Lonchura striata: one gene and its partner. The protein of the gene in region 1 purifies or fractionates together with the protein of each later gene. This does not show direct contact. Links are inferred from orthologs where the notes say so. Each region holds a gene or a part of one and is shown in the gene's direction. Other genes may lie near its edges.

The links. The genes of interacting proteins can lie anywhere in the genome.
Region 2: the proteins of SERTAD4 (region 1) and PPP2R2D purify together in Homo sapiens (affinity purification with mass spectrometry; 3 studies listed by BioGRID and IntAct, counting the BioPlex papers as one, with this or other methods). This does not show direct contact. The link is inferred for Lonchura striata from reciprocal best matches to the Homo sapiens genes SERTAD4 and PPP2R2D.

Annotation. Positions count from the first base shown.
Region 1 is NC_134605.1:12,752,956-12,760,084, reverse strand, and holds the start of SERTAD4 (SERTA domain-containing protein 4), read left to right. Parts: upstream 1-4,041; 5' UTR 4,042-4,121; intron 4,122-4,448; 5' UTR 4,449-4,463; coding exon 4,464-4,635; intron 4,636-5,005; coding exon 5,006-5,121; intron 5,122-7,129.
Region 2 is NC_134609.1:31,970,054-31,977,936, forward strand, and holds the start of PPP2R2D (serine/threonine-protein phosphatase 2A 55 kDa regulatory subunit B delta isoform), read left to right. Parts: upstream 1-4,819; 5' UTR 4,820-4,948; coding exon 4,949-4,955; intron 4,956-5,160; coding exon 5,161-5,259; intron 5,260-7,883. UniProt on the Homo sapiens protein: Substrate-recognition subunit of protein phosphatase 2A (PP2A) that plays a key role in cell cycle by controlling mitosis entry and exit. Involved in chromosome clustering during late mitosis by mediating dephosphorylation of MKI67.

The DNA of each region.
Region 1 (7,129 bases):
AGAGAAGGAAGAACTCTCCCTACCATGGGCTGTCTCTTGGAAGTCCAGTTTTCAATTTAAATCCATTATAGTCAGTTCCAGAGGGTTTTCCACTTCTTGCAGCCTTGCTGCTCAGCTTGTCTCCAAAGCCCTGAGTGCTGGAATTGTCTTTGATCCTTTGCTTTCATTTCCTGTGACTGGGCTGCCCCAGTGTGCTGTGATTAGGTGTCCCTTGCATTTCCACTGCTTCATTCATAACATTACTACAGCTACATATGCATCTATCCAAACAATAAACATTTTAATCAAGGTCCTCATTATCTCCCATCTCTGTTTGTAACTTCCTCCTCCTTGAACCTGTGCCACATCAGCCAGTTTGATCTATTTAAACAACAAACTCCCAACATCCTCTTCCCTGTCCGCTGCTGTGGTCAGAGCCAAGCTACCTCCTGCCTCTCCTCCTTATTTGCCTCCATCCAGTCTTTTATTTTCCCATGTGAGGTTGTCACAGTTCTGCCATAGCTGTCATCACTCCACCATTGTCTCTACAGCATGGCTGTGCACTCTTTGCCAGTGATGCCTTTATCTGCTGCTCCCAGGGGAGCCTTTATGCCCTTTTCCATGACGCTCTTGTCCACAGGATGCCCTGCCTCCCTCAGCTAAATTGGCAACACCAAACTTTGTTGCATCAACCATAAAGAGCAGGTAGTTTACGATGAGGTTAGCCTGGACTGGTTTACAGGTGATGCAGTCGGGGTTTTTTTTTAAGGGAGGTACATCAGTCTGGGTATGTGTTTGTGCCTTTCCCCTTCCTCTTGCCAGCTGTCATTGCTTCCTTAGACAGTGGGTCTGCACAGGCTGTGTGCAATGGGACTCCTTATTGCTTCTGCACTGAAAATTTTCTGAAATGTCAGAAAGGTAACAGCTACCAAAACGATGGCAATTTTGTTTTCTAAGTACTGCAATCCAGATGTTAAAAATGGCATAGCACAGCTGAGAAATGCTATTCTCTCCTCAAGCCATGTTGTTATGCAATGGAAAGCTCCACACTATGTGATAAAAACTGAACCTGCTGCAGTTCTTGGGTACAAACCCAGGGCTAAACAAGGAATAGCCGTCTTAAGTCTGTTCCCTTGTTTTTATTGGTCTCAGTGAGACTTGCAGCTTTATAGTCATGGGCATTTTATATTTAAGTTTGGGTTTTTAGAGGCATTCTGGAACTGTATAAAAAGCCCCTTTCTCTGACATCGCATCAGGCTTTTTGTAATGTGAATGGCATCATTACAGTTCTCTCATTAACATCATAATGGCTCTGGAGGAATAGGGAGTGAAAACCCCAGCAAATGGAGTAGCGTGCTTGCGATGTATAGTCGTCTTACTGTGTGAAACCGAACACGGAAAAAGTTTGACATTTTAACCTTCAGGCTGATGCCTCGGGGTGTCCTCACACTGAATGCATTTGGCTGACAAAATGGAAAAATTCTGGTAGCCTAAGGATGGAGGGCTGGGTTCAATAAAAAACTGTGCCTGGCTTCCATGCCACTGAAGCCCACACAAGGCTCCTAAATGGATTTTTCAAAATTGAATCCAGCCCCAAGTGTCAACCTTTTGCTGTAATTTTATATTGTAAATGTATTGTATGTTCAAATGTACATCTTTCATCCTTTATTTCCAGAGGCGCTAATGGAAATGTAACAATGTGTGTGCTGTTCTGCAAAGTCTCATTGAAACCAACGGGATTTTGGATGAAATCCCTCCATTGCATAAGATAATGTAATATAAATGGGTTGGGCTTACGGCTGGAGAATGATGAGATCTGGTTCTATTTCTGGCGCTGACACTGATTTGCTGTGTGACTTCTGGCAAGATACTCAGGGATGGATTTTGCCACCCTTAATGGGGAAAAGCAGTAGGTTGGCTCTTGGGGAGCAGTGCCAGAGGTCCTGTTTGCAGAGCTGGGTCTGATGGTGCTTCCTCAGTAAACACTGGCTCACAGTTCTGCTGTGTCCAACTCCACCTTCAAGGAGGCCAACTTTTCCCATGTGCTTGGGTGCTTGCAGCTCTCTTCCCACTCATTTGCAACAGCTGGAAATCACTGCTTCTCAACATCCAAGGGGAACAAATAGCGCACCCAGAGTCACCAGGCCTTTTAAAAGCCTGGTTCTCAGCATCTGTATGCTGAAGCAATTACTCTGCCACAAAATAGGACTTATTTTTTAGCTGAGAGCCACCTCTAAATCTTTGTAACACATGCTGAGATCTACAAGCTTTGTTTGGGGCTTTGGTTTTCTGGTGGTTGTGTTTTGTTTCTCCCAGGGAAGCGATATTATTTATGCCTTGTTTTTATACAGTTTGGAAATATGGAGAATGTGCATGGACAGTTGCTGTTTACAGAAGTGAACTGGCCTGCCTCTATTAATTTTGCATGTTGTAAATAGCAAAAACAGTTCATTTACTTTCGTGGCTGTCCAGAGAACTCAGTTTTTCAAGATAAATTAGCAGCACTATGCAGAAAGCTTCCTTCCTTCCTTCCTTCCTGCATGTTTCTGCTTGAGCTTAGAGAGACCTATTTGTGAAGAAATATGGTAAGAAAAAGATGCAGACTTGAAATCTCAGATTCTCATTTAAAAAAAGTAAATTCACAAAGAGATGCTGTATTCATTATGAGCAAAGAATCTTGACTTCCAGAAGCAGTAGTGAGTTTCTTCCAACCCTTATTCTCTCAGGACAAACACTGAGTGTTGATGTCTTGCCAATGTGAGAAGATTGATGTGCCCCTGTGAATGATTCCTCCATCTGGATTAATGAGAAGAGTCCATTGCTGCTTTCTAATGATGGTGTAATCTTTTCAGATACAAAATATATGAGGTTTTAGCTGGTTCTTGGGGTCACTTCTTGGTCCTGCTGTTAGATCAGCAGACTGACTCAGTTGTTTTGACCACTCCTTCCATGTGTTGGTTCTCAGCTGGTAAGACAAGGTGTGGGGAATAAATAATAGATGTTGTCTGTGTCAGGGGTAACTTTCAAAGGGCCAACCAGCGGCTTGCCATTCCCTATGCTGTTCCTTGGTCCAAGAAAAACAAGATGGCAAGAAAAATGACTGAGGTCTATATGCAGTGCATTAGCAGTAAATTGGCTCTGAGGAAGGGGTTTAGGCACCTGTCAGTCCTCCTGCAGCGAGACTGGTGGCCCTTACTAAGGCAAACTGCCTGGGGACCGCAGCTGCCTGTGCCTCCAGCTCCCGTTTGTGCCCCGGTGAGGAGGCAAGGCAGATCCATGCATGCAGGCATCCAAGACACAAACAGCGCACGCTGGAAGCCGTTTCTTAATAAAGTAGCAGCCTTGTGCTAGGATTTAAGAAAACAACTGGCAGATGTGAACGATTTATTTTTCCTCCCTCTTCTGCTGCGGTTTATTTTTTCCTCTTGTTCGAGAGCGCTCGGCTGCTAACACAAACAATTGCTGAAATTCCACCTGCCCACCTGCAGCCCCTCCTTCCCGCCGCCTGCTCGGGCCGTCGCCCTCCTCCGGGAGGGCTGCGCCGAGGGGAAACTACATCCCGCTTTCTTAGAGAGAGGAGGAGGAAGGAGAGGGAGGGGCCGGGCCGTGTCTGGGCGCATTGTTCCGCGCTCCTCTGCCAAGAAGTAGGTGACTATGAACTCATCCCTCGCTCCTCGCAGAAAGTTTGCCGCCTTCCCCCCCTGCTCCCCTCCCCTCCCGCCCGCTGGCGCGGCAGGAGGCAGCTCGCAGCCCGGCGCTGGCCCCGGAGTCCCCGCTCCTGCTTAATATTCCGCCCGCTCCGCCGATGTTGTGCTTGGCTCCGGTGGGACCGCAACTCACGGCGTGAAACCGGAGCCAATTTTCTGTCTTTAGTCTCGCAGTGTTTTGACTGGAGGCAGATCCAGTTCAGTCCGATCGGGGCTAGTGGAAACAACTACCTAAGTCTCCGCTGTCTGTATCGTTTGGGAGGGAAGAAAGAAGAAAGGAAGGCGATCCCGGACTGCTGGGCGCGCTCTCTCTCGCACACACACGCACCGCAGACACACGCACCCAGACAGGCAGACTCGCACCCCGCCGGTGCCGAGCGCGCCGTGCCACCGCCGCCGGGAGGAAATGGGAAGGCAGTGAGCGGATCCGAGCCGGTGTGTGAGCGCCGCCGGGGCCGGGAAGGGGCGGCGGGGGGAGCGGAGCGCGGCCGGGGGCGGCGGGAGCGGGGCCGGGGGCGGCGCGCACCAACTCCCGGTGCCGGGGACCCCGCGCCCTTTGTGGGAGAGGGCTCCGCTCTTTCTCCTGCCGTAAGGAGGGAGGGGAAAAAACCCTAAACGCGTGTCTATGTGAGGTCGATACGCGTATGTTTTTCATATACGTGTGCGCGGAGGTCTGGCTGCTGGGGGCCGCGGGGGGCGGAACGCGGCGGGGCGGGGGGCAGGTGAGGGCGGCGGGCGCTCACCGCGCTGCTTCGCTTCCAGGTGCCGGCGCCCGCGATGACCCTGGTGCTGCCCATGCAGCGGCTGGGCCGCCCCATCGCCGCCGAGGGAGCCGCCGACCTCGCCGCCTACCGCGCCCTCTGGGAGCCGCCCTGCTGCGGCCGCCCCGGCCCCGCAGCCCCGCCGGCCGCGGCCCCAAGCCCGCCGGCCCCCGGGGCCCCCGCCGCAGGTAGGCACGGCACCGCCGCGGGGGCACCGGGCGGCCCCGGCACCAGGGGCTGTCCGCGGAGCGGGGCGGGCGGAGGGCGGAGGGCGGGGGTCTCCCGCGGGGCCGCAGGTGCGCGGGGCCGCCGGGCGCTGTCGCGGCGCAGTTGTCCGGCACCGAGCGCCCTGCGGCGGCCCCGGCTCCCCGCGCCGCCGCTCGCACCGGCCGCGGGTCCTGCGCCTGGCGGGAGAGGGTTTATTGCTGATCGCCGCCGATCGATGCGAAAATATGCGGCGGCGTTCTCCTGTAGCGCGAAGGGAAATGAAAAGTATTTTGTTTGGAGAACCTCCGGCAAACCGCATGTCATTTGTCATATCTGATTTATTACCCACAGGATCACATTACAGGGGAATTTCAAATCCTGTAACGACATCCAAGATCACATACTTTAAAAGGAAATATGTGGAAGAAGAGGATTTTCATCCGCCACTCAGCAGCTGTTCACATAAAGTATGTTTTCTCATAGTCATTATTTTTACTCTGAGTTTCAGATGCTTAGTAACACTCGATTGACCCATTTCCAGAAGGCTGAAATACTCTGCTGAAATTAGGAGAATGATCCAGCTGTTTGCTCAGAAACAAACAGTTGTCACTTCTTCACATTTATTGTTGTATTGTCATCAATTGCAAAATAAGCAAAGGCGTTTCTGCAATAATAACTGCAAAGGAAATGCTGAGAATAACTTTTTTCTTCAGATTATTTTGTTCTTAGCTAGTTCACGTCTTGCTTACAGAAACAGATCTGTAACAACATTTAAACAACAGAAAGGCAGAACATAAGTAAAAGATTTCCCACTTCCTTTCCAGAGGGGAAAATAGTGAGAGGTTCCATACATCCCACACTGGTCACTGATCCTCTAAAAAACCAGAATGGCTTGGAAAGCAAGTACAAGTTCCCTCAGTATTTAATCATGTTTATTAAAAAGCTAATAACTCCCAAAGAACAGATTAGTAAATGAAAGAATATTTTTAGTGAAAGTTGCCAGGGGAGAGATTAGAGCAAACGTTTCCCAGGCCGGTGAATACATAAATTGAAATCTGACTATTTCTGCGAGATTTTATGCTCCCTTTCATTAAGGGCTCAGTTCTGTGTGGAACTGAATGCCTGGGGTGAAATGCTTAAGGATAGCTCATGCCTTGAGACACCATCCTTACCTTATTGAATCCTACCTGGCCCATGGAATTCCAGTGCTACCCATGTTCTCTTGGCAATGAGGGAGAGATTTCTGTGGAGGAGAAGCAAGCATTAATGCTGAGCTCAGTTCCCAAATACCTTAGAGTAGCTGAAGAAATTTTCAGCTACAAATAGAGTTGTCTGGAAATAAGTACCTGGACCAGAGAGGTGAAAAATTGTCCCGTTGTTAATTTCAGAAGATGTCTGGTTTCCTGCCAGGACAGTGAATAAACAGCACCAAGGGTGTTGAAAAAAGTGATTTGGTTAGTGAGTGTCTCACACATATTACTTCACTCTCCCAGTTTTCAGCCAGTTTTTTTTTTTTTTTTTTTTATAAGATTGCTGGATTTTTGTATCAGTGATTAATTTCCTTACAAAGAGGGGCAGGAGGAATAGTTATTTAGCCTCTTCTAACAGCAATAAGATGCAGTTGTAGAGGTATTAGTAAGCTAGACCCAGCCACTGTTTTATGCTGTTGTTTGCAGAGGTGTAACGTGTCAGAAACTCTGGGTCACCAATTTCTTCCATTGAGCCCAAATACATTTTCTTCTTTGCAGCACTGAGCTCTGGCAGAGGGAGGATGCACACCAGGTTTCCTTGAATTTCTTACATGTTTATACCTCTGCCACCCAGTAAAGAGATATGTTCTAAGATTACTTGTCCCATAGAGGATAAGATGGTAGGGCCTGGGGCTTCTCTCCAGAGGGCTGCTGGCAAACATGTATAAGAAATCCTTTGATAGCTTGTTCTTACTGGTGTCCCTCCAGTACATATCTCCAGGAGAATCCCAGTTCAAGGCTTACTGGTTTGCTCCAGGCTTTTATGGCTTCACTGACTGTTGTTGCATCAGGTACAAAGGACGCAAATGAACCTATAGGCTTAATATAATTTAAAATGAGTCATTTATTATAGAAAATTACTCTCTCTAACAAAGAGCTTCAGCTGTGAACTCATATGAAATTATGGCCAATTTTTGTTTTTATGAGGCACTGTGCTGCTTCTAAGCCTCACAGACATGACCAGGCTGTGGAAAGAGCTAGAGGGCTGAGGAGAGCTGAATGGATGTGAAAAGCAGCTGTGCTTTAAGCTCTTTCAGTCCTCATAGCTACGACTTCCACTCTGCAAAAATGCTGTAACCATGTGGGAAAGGGAAGAATGATCAAGCCACAGATGGGGGGATTTAGAGCAGTTTCTCTTTGTGCTGTGCTGCTCTCCTCCTACGCAAACCAAATTCTTACTAAAAATGAAAATTAGTTACTAGTGCTTACAGTAGCATGTGTTGCC
Region 2 (7,883 bases), on another chromosome or scaffold:
CGCTCCAGCCTCTCTGGGAGCCCTGTGGAACACCTGGGGAGGCTACCTGAGGGTGAGCAGGGCAGAACAGCGACTCAGCGGGCACCCTGTGCCCTGCAGCCAGAAATAGAGAGCGCATGGCCTCGTCCCTCCCGTCCCTCTCCCCAGGACACACACGGTGCCAGGAAAACGCTGTGCTGCTCCTTCCTGGAAGAGCTCCCCTCTCCAGGGCCAGGGCTGGGCTGGTGCCAGGGCAGAGGGACACTGAGCCACGGGAGCTGTGCACGGGACAGGCTGGCGACAGCCAGGAAGGTGATGGCACGGGGACAGCAGGGAGGGAAAAGCCGGACCACGAGGCTTAGGACATTTGCCTGGAGGTGACAAAGGGGCTTTCCTGAGGGGCTTGGATGGAAGGAAAAGTCTGCTTTGGAGCAGGAAAAGTCAGCATGCCATGCATACCTCATACAAGACCAGGATTTCAGGGACAGAGGGGTCTGTGCTCAGCTGCGGGAGCAGGGACCTGGGCAGGAACCACCAGAGGTGAACAAGGACTCTTCATACACCATAGGTGTAAAAAACACAGCAAAATTACTGAACACAGGGCTCATAAGGAAACCCACCAGCTGCCAAACCACAGGCTTGCTCCGAAGTTTGGAACACTGACAAAAATTCCATGGGAAAAAGATCTGTTGCGCTTCTCACCTAAGAATAATCAGGTGTTGTGCTGTCAATTAGCACGTGAGGTGCGTGTGGTTTCTATCTGTTAACAAAATGTGACTCCCTGTGCCCACCAGCTGTACTTCCCTTCAGGATAAACGCTCTTTCCATGGATTGCCCCGTGTTTTTGGGAATTACCCTTGCAGCACCGTCTCTTTTCAGAGCAGAGGCAGTGAGAGCGCCCTGGCAGGCTCAGGGCTGTTGGCCCTCTGCAGAGGGTGGAAAATGAGGGACGGGGCAGCAGCACACGGGGCACGGAGGGCAGCTGGCCCCGCAGGATCCTATTTCCAGAGCACACGTGGAAACTTTGTTCTCGGGAGCTTTCCTTGCTCGGCGTGGCCAGGCAGAACGTCAGCTCCTTGTGCGTGCACCCCAGTACACGGCAGGGACCCAGCGACTGGGAACAGCCGCTCTGTCACCCTGTGCCCGAGTTCTGGAATTCTGCAAGAGCACACACCCAGCCCCGTGCCCGGCCTGTGCAACACCTCTGCCCACACCCCCCGGGCTGAGCAGGGAAAGCTTTCCCAACCCCCTGTCCCCAGCCTGGGCAGCAGGAAAGGGGAATTGTGCCCCGTGCCCAGGTGAGCCCCACCTGCAGAGCTGGCTCAGAGGGACCTGGAGCTGCTGCAGAGGATCCAGAGGAGGCACCCAATGATCAGAGGATGGAGCAGCTCTGCTGGCAGAGCTGCACTGGAACCTGCAGGGGAGAAGGGTGGGGTGACCTCGGGGTGGCCTCACGGGGCTGGAGGAGCCAGCAAGAAACTGGAGAGAGATGATTTACAAGGGCCTGGAGTGCCAGGGCATGGGAGAAGGACTCTGCCAAAGAGCAGGGTTTAAAGGCATTCTTTGCCCTTCAGGATGACTTTCCTACAGCCAAGAGACTAAGTAAAAAAATATTTTATTTAAACACTTGATACACAACACACTACATAAGGAATAAACACAAATCAAGTAATGAGTCTATAAATGGGTACAGATGTCATAGCAAGAAATTAAATAAGGAAAACCTGAGTCAAACGCATTTCTGTATCTAAATTACCAAGAAAAGGCTGCAAGCCCAGAGGAGTAATGTCTCTGAGAGGAACCATCCTGAACTCAGGCAAGTGCTAGACTTTAGCCCTTCCACAGGAAAATCCTCAAGAACCTCCAGGTAAAATTCCATTCAGTAAGATAAAGACTTCCAGCAGAGAGAATTACTTGTTCCTAACAAGACTCTTACTCTGTAAGGGGATGTTCTTCACTCACCTGGGCTCAAGATCACAATTAACCAAGTCTGTTCATCAACCAATTTCCTTGCATTTCCTACAACCAACAGGACTTAGGAAACCACCTCAGACTGAGACACAACAGTGCAGACCTGTCGCCTTTCCAAGCACTTAGCCCTTCCCTAGGAGCAGCTGGGCTTTAAAGTTCTTTAAATTGTACCATTTTCCAAAGGACTGCGAGACCAGGAATGTATTAATAGACGGGGTTTGGGGCAAACACAGAATTCATTTTCATTTCTTTCTGCTCTTTTGGATTTAGGGGCAGAAATTGCATCTCCACAAATTCCAGTATCCGTGCTTGGAAAAGGAGCAGTCAGGAGAGGCCCGAACTCAACGGGGCAGCAGGAATATTGAGTTTGTGAGGCAGGAGATGCAGGGAAGGGGCAGCTCCGCAGCCGTGGTCGGACACCTGCAGCCCTGGAGCTCCAGGAGCGCAGATCCGGAGGGATCCCGGCCGCGTTCCCTCCTCCCAGCCCTGCCCGCGGCCAAACCCGGCCAGCACAGCCCCAGGGCCGGGGCTTGGGGCTGGATCCCAAATCACCACGGGCAGCTCCGGAGCCGGGCCGGGCCCTCCTGCCCGGGGCGAGGAACGGTGTGGGGGGACACGAGCCGGATGAAGAAAAGCTGTGACTGAGAGCTGGGCTGAGGAAAGGCTGTCCCTGAGGCATGAGAGCAGAGCTGGGCTTAGGAAAGGCTGTCCCTGAGAGCCGGGCTGAGGAAAGGCTGTGACTGAGAACTGGGCATAGGAAAGGCTGTGACTGAGACATGAGAGCAGAGCCGGGCTTAGGAAAGGCTGTGACTGAGACATGAGAGCAGAGCCGGGCTTAGGAAAGGCTGTGACTGAGAGCTGGGCTTAGGAAAGGCTGTGACTGAGACATGAGAGCAGAGCTGGGCTTAGGAAAGGCTGTGCCTGAGACACAGAGCCGGGTTTAGGAAAGGCTGTGACTGACAGCCGGGCTGAGGAAAGGCTGTGACTGAGAACTGGGCTTAGGAAAGGCTGTGACTGAGACATGAGAGCAGAGCTGGGCTTAGGAAAGGCTGTGCCTGAGACACAGAGCCGGGTTTAGGAAAGGCTGTGACTGAGACACAGAGCTGGGTTTAGGAAAGGCTGTCACTGAGAGCCGGGTTTAGGAAAGGCTGTGACTGAGAGCCGGGCTGAGGAAAGGCTGTGACTGAGAACTGGGCTTAGGAAAGGCTGTGACTGAGACATGAGAGCAGAGCTGGGCTTAGGAAAGGCTGTGCCTGAGACACAGAGCCGGGTTTAGGAAAGGCTGTGACTGACAGCCGGGCTGAGGAAAGGCTGTGCCTGAGACACAGAGCTGGGTTTAGGAAAGGCTGTCACTGAGAGCCGGGTTTAGGAAAGGCTGTGACTGAGAGCCGGGCTGAGGAAAGGCTGTGACTGAGACACCAGAGCCGGGTTTAGGAAAGGCTGTGACTGAGACACAGAGCCGGGTTTAGGAAAGGCTGTGACTGAGAGCCGGGCTGAGGAAAGGCTGTGACTGAGACACAGAGCCGGGTTTAGGAAAGGCTGTGACTGAGACACAGAGCCGGGCTTAGGAAAGGCTGTCTCTGAGGGCTGCTGAGGCCTCGGCAGGCGCTGCCCAGGAGGGTGGCAGTGCCCGTCCCTGGAGGTGTCACCCGGAGGTGGCACTCGGAGCTCTGGGCTGGGGACAGGGTGGGGATGGGCACAGGGTGGACTCGGTGATCCTGAGGGCTTTTCCAGCCCCAGCGACTCTGGAATTCTGTGATAAACCTGTCCCTGAGGCCCTGCTCCCTCCCTCCCCTCACCCGGCTCTGGCGCAAAGGAGTCAGAGGCACGTTTGGGTTTTTGCTCTTTTGGTTAGTTTGGTTTTCCCCTCATCACAATTAACCCTTGGGGGAGCGAGCAGAACCAAACCGGGACGCACAGCGAGGTCTCTGCTGTGACGCTCCCGTCCCTTCACGGAAAGCCGCGTGTGGAGCGGCTGGGGAGCGCCGGCACGGCTCCGAGCCGCGCTCCTTCCTCCTCCTCCTCCTCCTCCTCATGCTGAGCCCCCCGTGCTGCCTGGGAGCGCCGGCACGGCTCCGAGCCGCGCTCCTTCCTCCTCCTCCTCCTCCTCCTCATGCTTATCCTCCGGTGCCCTGCGCGTCCCGCGGAGCCGGGGCCGGGACCGTGCCGTGCCGGTACCGTGCCATACCGTGCCGTGCCGTGCTGTGCCATGGCATACCGTGCCTGTACCATGCCATGCCGTGTCGTACCGGTACCGTGCCGTGCCGTGCCGTGCCGGTACCGTGCCATGCCGGTACCATGACGTACCGTGCCGTGCGGTACCATGCCGTACTGCACCGTACCATGCCGTGCCGTGCCGTACCGGTACCGTGCCGTGCCGTGCCGGTACCATGCCGTGCCATGCCGTGCCGGTATCATGCCGTACCGCACCGTACCATGCTGTACCATGCCGTACCATGCCGTGCCGTGCCGTACCGGTGCCATGCCGTGCCGTGCCGTACCATGCCGTACCATGCCATGCCGTACCGGTACGTGCCATGCCGTACCGGTACCGTGCCATGCCGTGCCATGCCGTGCCGTGCCGTGGCGTGCCATTGCACGCCGTGCCGTGCCGTGCCGTGCCATGCCGTGCCGTACCGGTACCGTGCCATGCCGTGGCGTGCCATTGCACGCCGTGCCGTGCTGTACCATGCCATGCCGTACCATGCCATGCCGTACCGGTACCATGCCGTGCCGTACCGGTACCGTGCCGTGCCGGTACCATGCCGTGCCATTGCACGCCGTGCCGTGCCGTGCCGTGCCGTGCCGTGCCATTGCACGCCGTGCCGCCCCGCTCGCCGCCCGGCCCGCCCTCCCCGAGGGGAGCCGGCGGTGACGTCACGGCCGGGCCGCCCGGCAATGGGCGCCATTTTGAAACCGCGAACCCTCCCGCGGCTCCGGGCGGCTCCGTCCCGCTCCCGGCCCCGCTCCCGGCCCCGCTCCCGCGGCTCCCCCCGCCATGGCAGGTCTGTGTCCGCGCCCCAGCTCCGCGCCGGGACGGGCCGGGACGGGCCGGGGCTGGGCGCCGCGGGGCCGCGGGGCCGGGCGCAGGCCGGGCCGCGCCGGGCGGCAGCGGCGGGGATGCGGGAGCGCGGCGGGCCGGGCCGGGCCGGGCGCGGGGCGCTCCTCTCCCTCCCTCCCCGCTCGCTCACCGCCCTTTCTCCTCCGCAGTAGTGGCGAGAGCTGGAGGCGACGGCGGCGGCAGCAGCAGCGAGGTGCAGTGGTGCTTCTTGCAGGTGAAGGGGGCGATCGACGAGGACGTGGCGGAAGGTGAGGGGAGCCCGGCTGCGCGCTCGGGCGGCCGCGGGCAGCGCCGCAGCATCCCCGGCCGTGCCGGGCTGTGCCATGACTAAGCGAGCTCCCACCCCTGGAGCATCACGGAGCAGCCACGGCGCCTTCCTCCGGGTCTCCGGTGCAATCCCTGAATCCCTGGGTAGCTGGGCCTGCGGCGCCTCTGGGATCCCCCGGCCCGGGCTCACCGGGAGCCGGGCACACCGGAACGGGTCCCGCAGGGCTCGGAACGGCTCTGCAGAGGGAGACCCCGGCCCCTCCCGGGCAGCTGCTCCAGGGCCCTGCCCCTCCATGCACACGAGTTCTTTTCTTCCTCTCGCTGGGCTGAACTCGCTGTGCCTCAGCTCTGCCCGTGCTCCTTGTCCTGGCCCTGGCACCGGCCCTGCCAGCCCTCGGGGAGATTTGCAGGGCTCGGCGGGGTCCCCCCTCAGCCTTCCCTGCTGCAGCCTGAGCAGCCCAGCTGCCAGAGCCTCTCCTCAGCTCAGAGATGCTCCAGTCCCAGAAGGACTCTGTGGCCTCTCTCTCCAGTGGCTCCTTGGCTTTCTGGTCCTGAGGAGCCCAGAACTGGGCACACTTCTGGGCTTAGGATAACTGTCTACAGTTCTGGGCTCAGGATAAAAGGTAACAACAGTGATACGATACAGGGAGAGGAAAAAAAGAAACACCAGTGGAGTCTGTCAGGCTTGTCAAGTTTCGCTCTGACGCACAGAGAGTGCAGCTCTGTCATTTGTGCTGCATTGAAAAGTGCAGTTTAAAGGGTTCCTGCAGCTGTGGAGAGATTTGATTCCCACTTGTTAACGTTAGGGAGCTATAAATAGGGATATTAAGCAGGGAAAAAGGGCACACCTTCACATTTCTCTGAAACTTTCCAGGCGCTTCATGTTTTGGACAGAGTAGAAAATAAGAAATGTTTTAACTGGGAAAAGTGTTTGCTGTAGTGTGCAGAGTCTGGGTGGAGTTTTGCTTGACTCTGATGAGAAAGTTCTTTTTCTGCCCCTAAATTTCATGTGTTCTAACTGTCCAGGTTGGCAGTGCTTCTTTCGAAAGTGTGAATTAACTTGCAGGGCCTGTGTGCTCAGCTTGGGTTTGGGATTTTATTTTTATTACTGGATGCAGTAAATATTTTTCCTTGCTGCCTGCTACGGGAAATTACGCTGACAGTGTTTTCATTTTCATGCCACTTGTTTGGCATTCCATTTAAAATAATGGCCATTGGAGGGATAGACTGGAAACTGCTCGAGAAACTACACTCACTCAGTTGTTTTCTTCCTTTTTCTTCCCTCTGTATGTTTTGTAGCTTGCTCTGAAGTTCCCAGAAATGTTGTAGAAATGTACAGAAGTAGCTTGTATGTTTTTTAAGTGGTTCTTTTTTCTCAGGTCTGTCACCTGTGTGACTAAAAGCCAGTTCTCCATGAGTAAAGGATATAGTTCTGGGGACTTTTGGCTCCTGGGGGCACTTTGCTTCCCAGATAACTCCTGAGCAGCCTGGATTTACACAGAGCAGGAGAGCTCCAGGAATCGTTCAGCACCTGGTTTTGCAAAACTAACACTAAAGTTTTGTTTTCCCGTGGGAATACCAGAACTATTTACAGGCTTTGTGACTTCTTGGTTTTTTGTTTTGATTTGTGGCCTTTCCCCTCCTCTTACATTTTGCCTTGAAATTGAATATAAAAAATATGCTACTTATTTTCTAATAACTGCCCAAATTTAATTTCCTAGTAAGAGTACAAATACATGGCTAGGTTTTGGGCCTCAGTTAGGGACATATTTACTCACTGCCATCTTTTAAATCCTCTCTTACCAAACTGCACATCTAAACCTGCTTGATGGACAACTGTTGCCTTGAAATAGCCTTCAAATTACACATAAATTTTTGTGACAGTGCAAACTTGCTACTGCTGTCAATTTTTGGTCTGTTTTGTGAAAAATTAGCTCTCTAGAGGAGGAGGACACCATGAAGTTGCTGTCCAGCCTATTCCATGCAGAGTGTTTTGCCAGATTTTCTTAGGGGTTTATTCAGGAGTTGAAACTGCTCAGCCAGGCGACTTTACCAGAAAATCCGTTCTTTTACAGTGCAGTTCTATTGCACATTTTATATTCCATAGTTGTTTCTCAGGTGTCTGGCTTCATCACAAACACTGGGACAACTGTATCAGATTGGCAGCTGGATTTTCCTAAGTGGGTCATTAATACAGAAAATCACTGTCTCCTCTTTGTCTTGTCCGTGCCTTGCCTTTCCTCGGTGACTAATCCCTGACCTCTGTCCAGGCTCTGTGTCAGGAAAGAGAAGGGCACTGTTCAGTCTGACCGTTTCTGAAAGACCAGGAGAATCCATCACTTCTTGACTATGGATTTTGTAAAGGGTTGGGTAGGACTTTTCTAGAACGGAATAGTTTAGTTGGATTCGGGGGAGAGGACTGAAGGATAAAACAGATTATAAAATAGAGATTGGGTGAAAGACTTAATATTAGGGATGGCAACAATCACAATTTGAAAACAAAGCTAATTAAAGATTGTGTTGTAATTCTGTTGTTAGTGTTAACCACATGACTCCAAAACTTGCACTGATTGCCCATGGAATTTGTAATTCTTGGGTTGCTTGT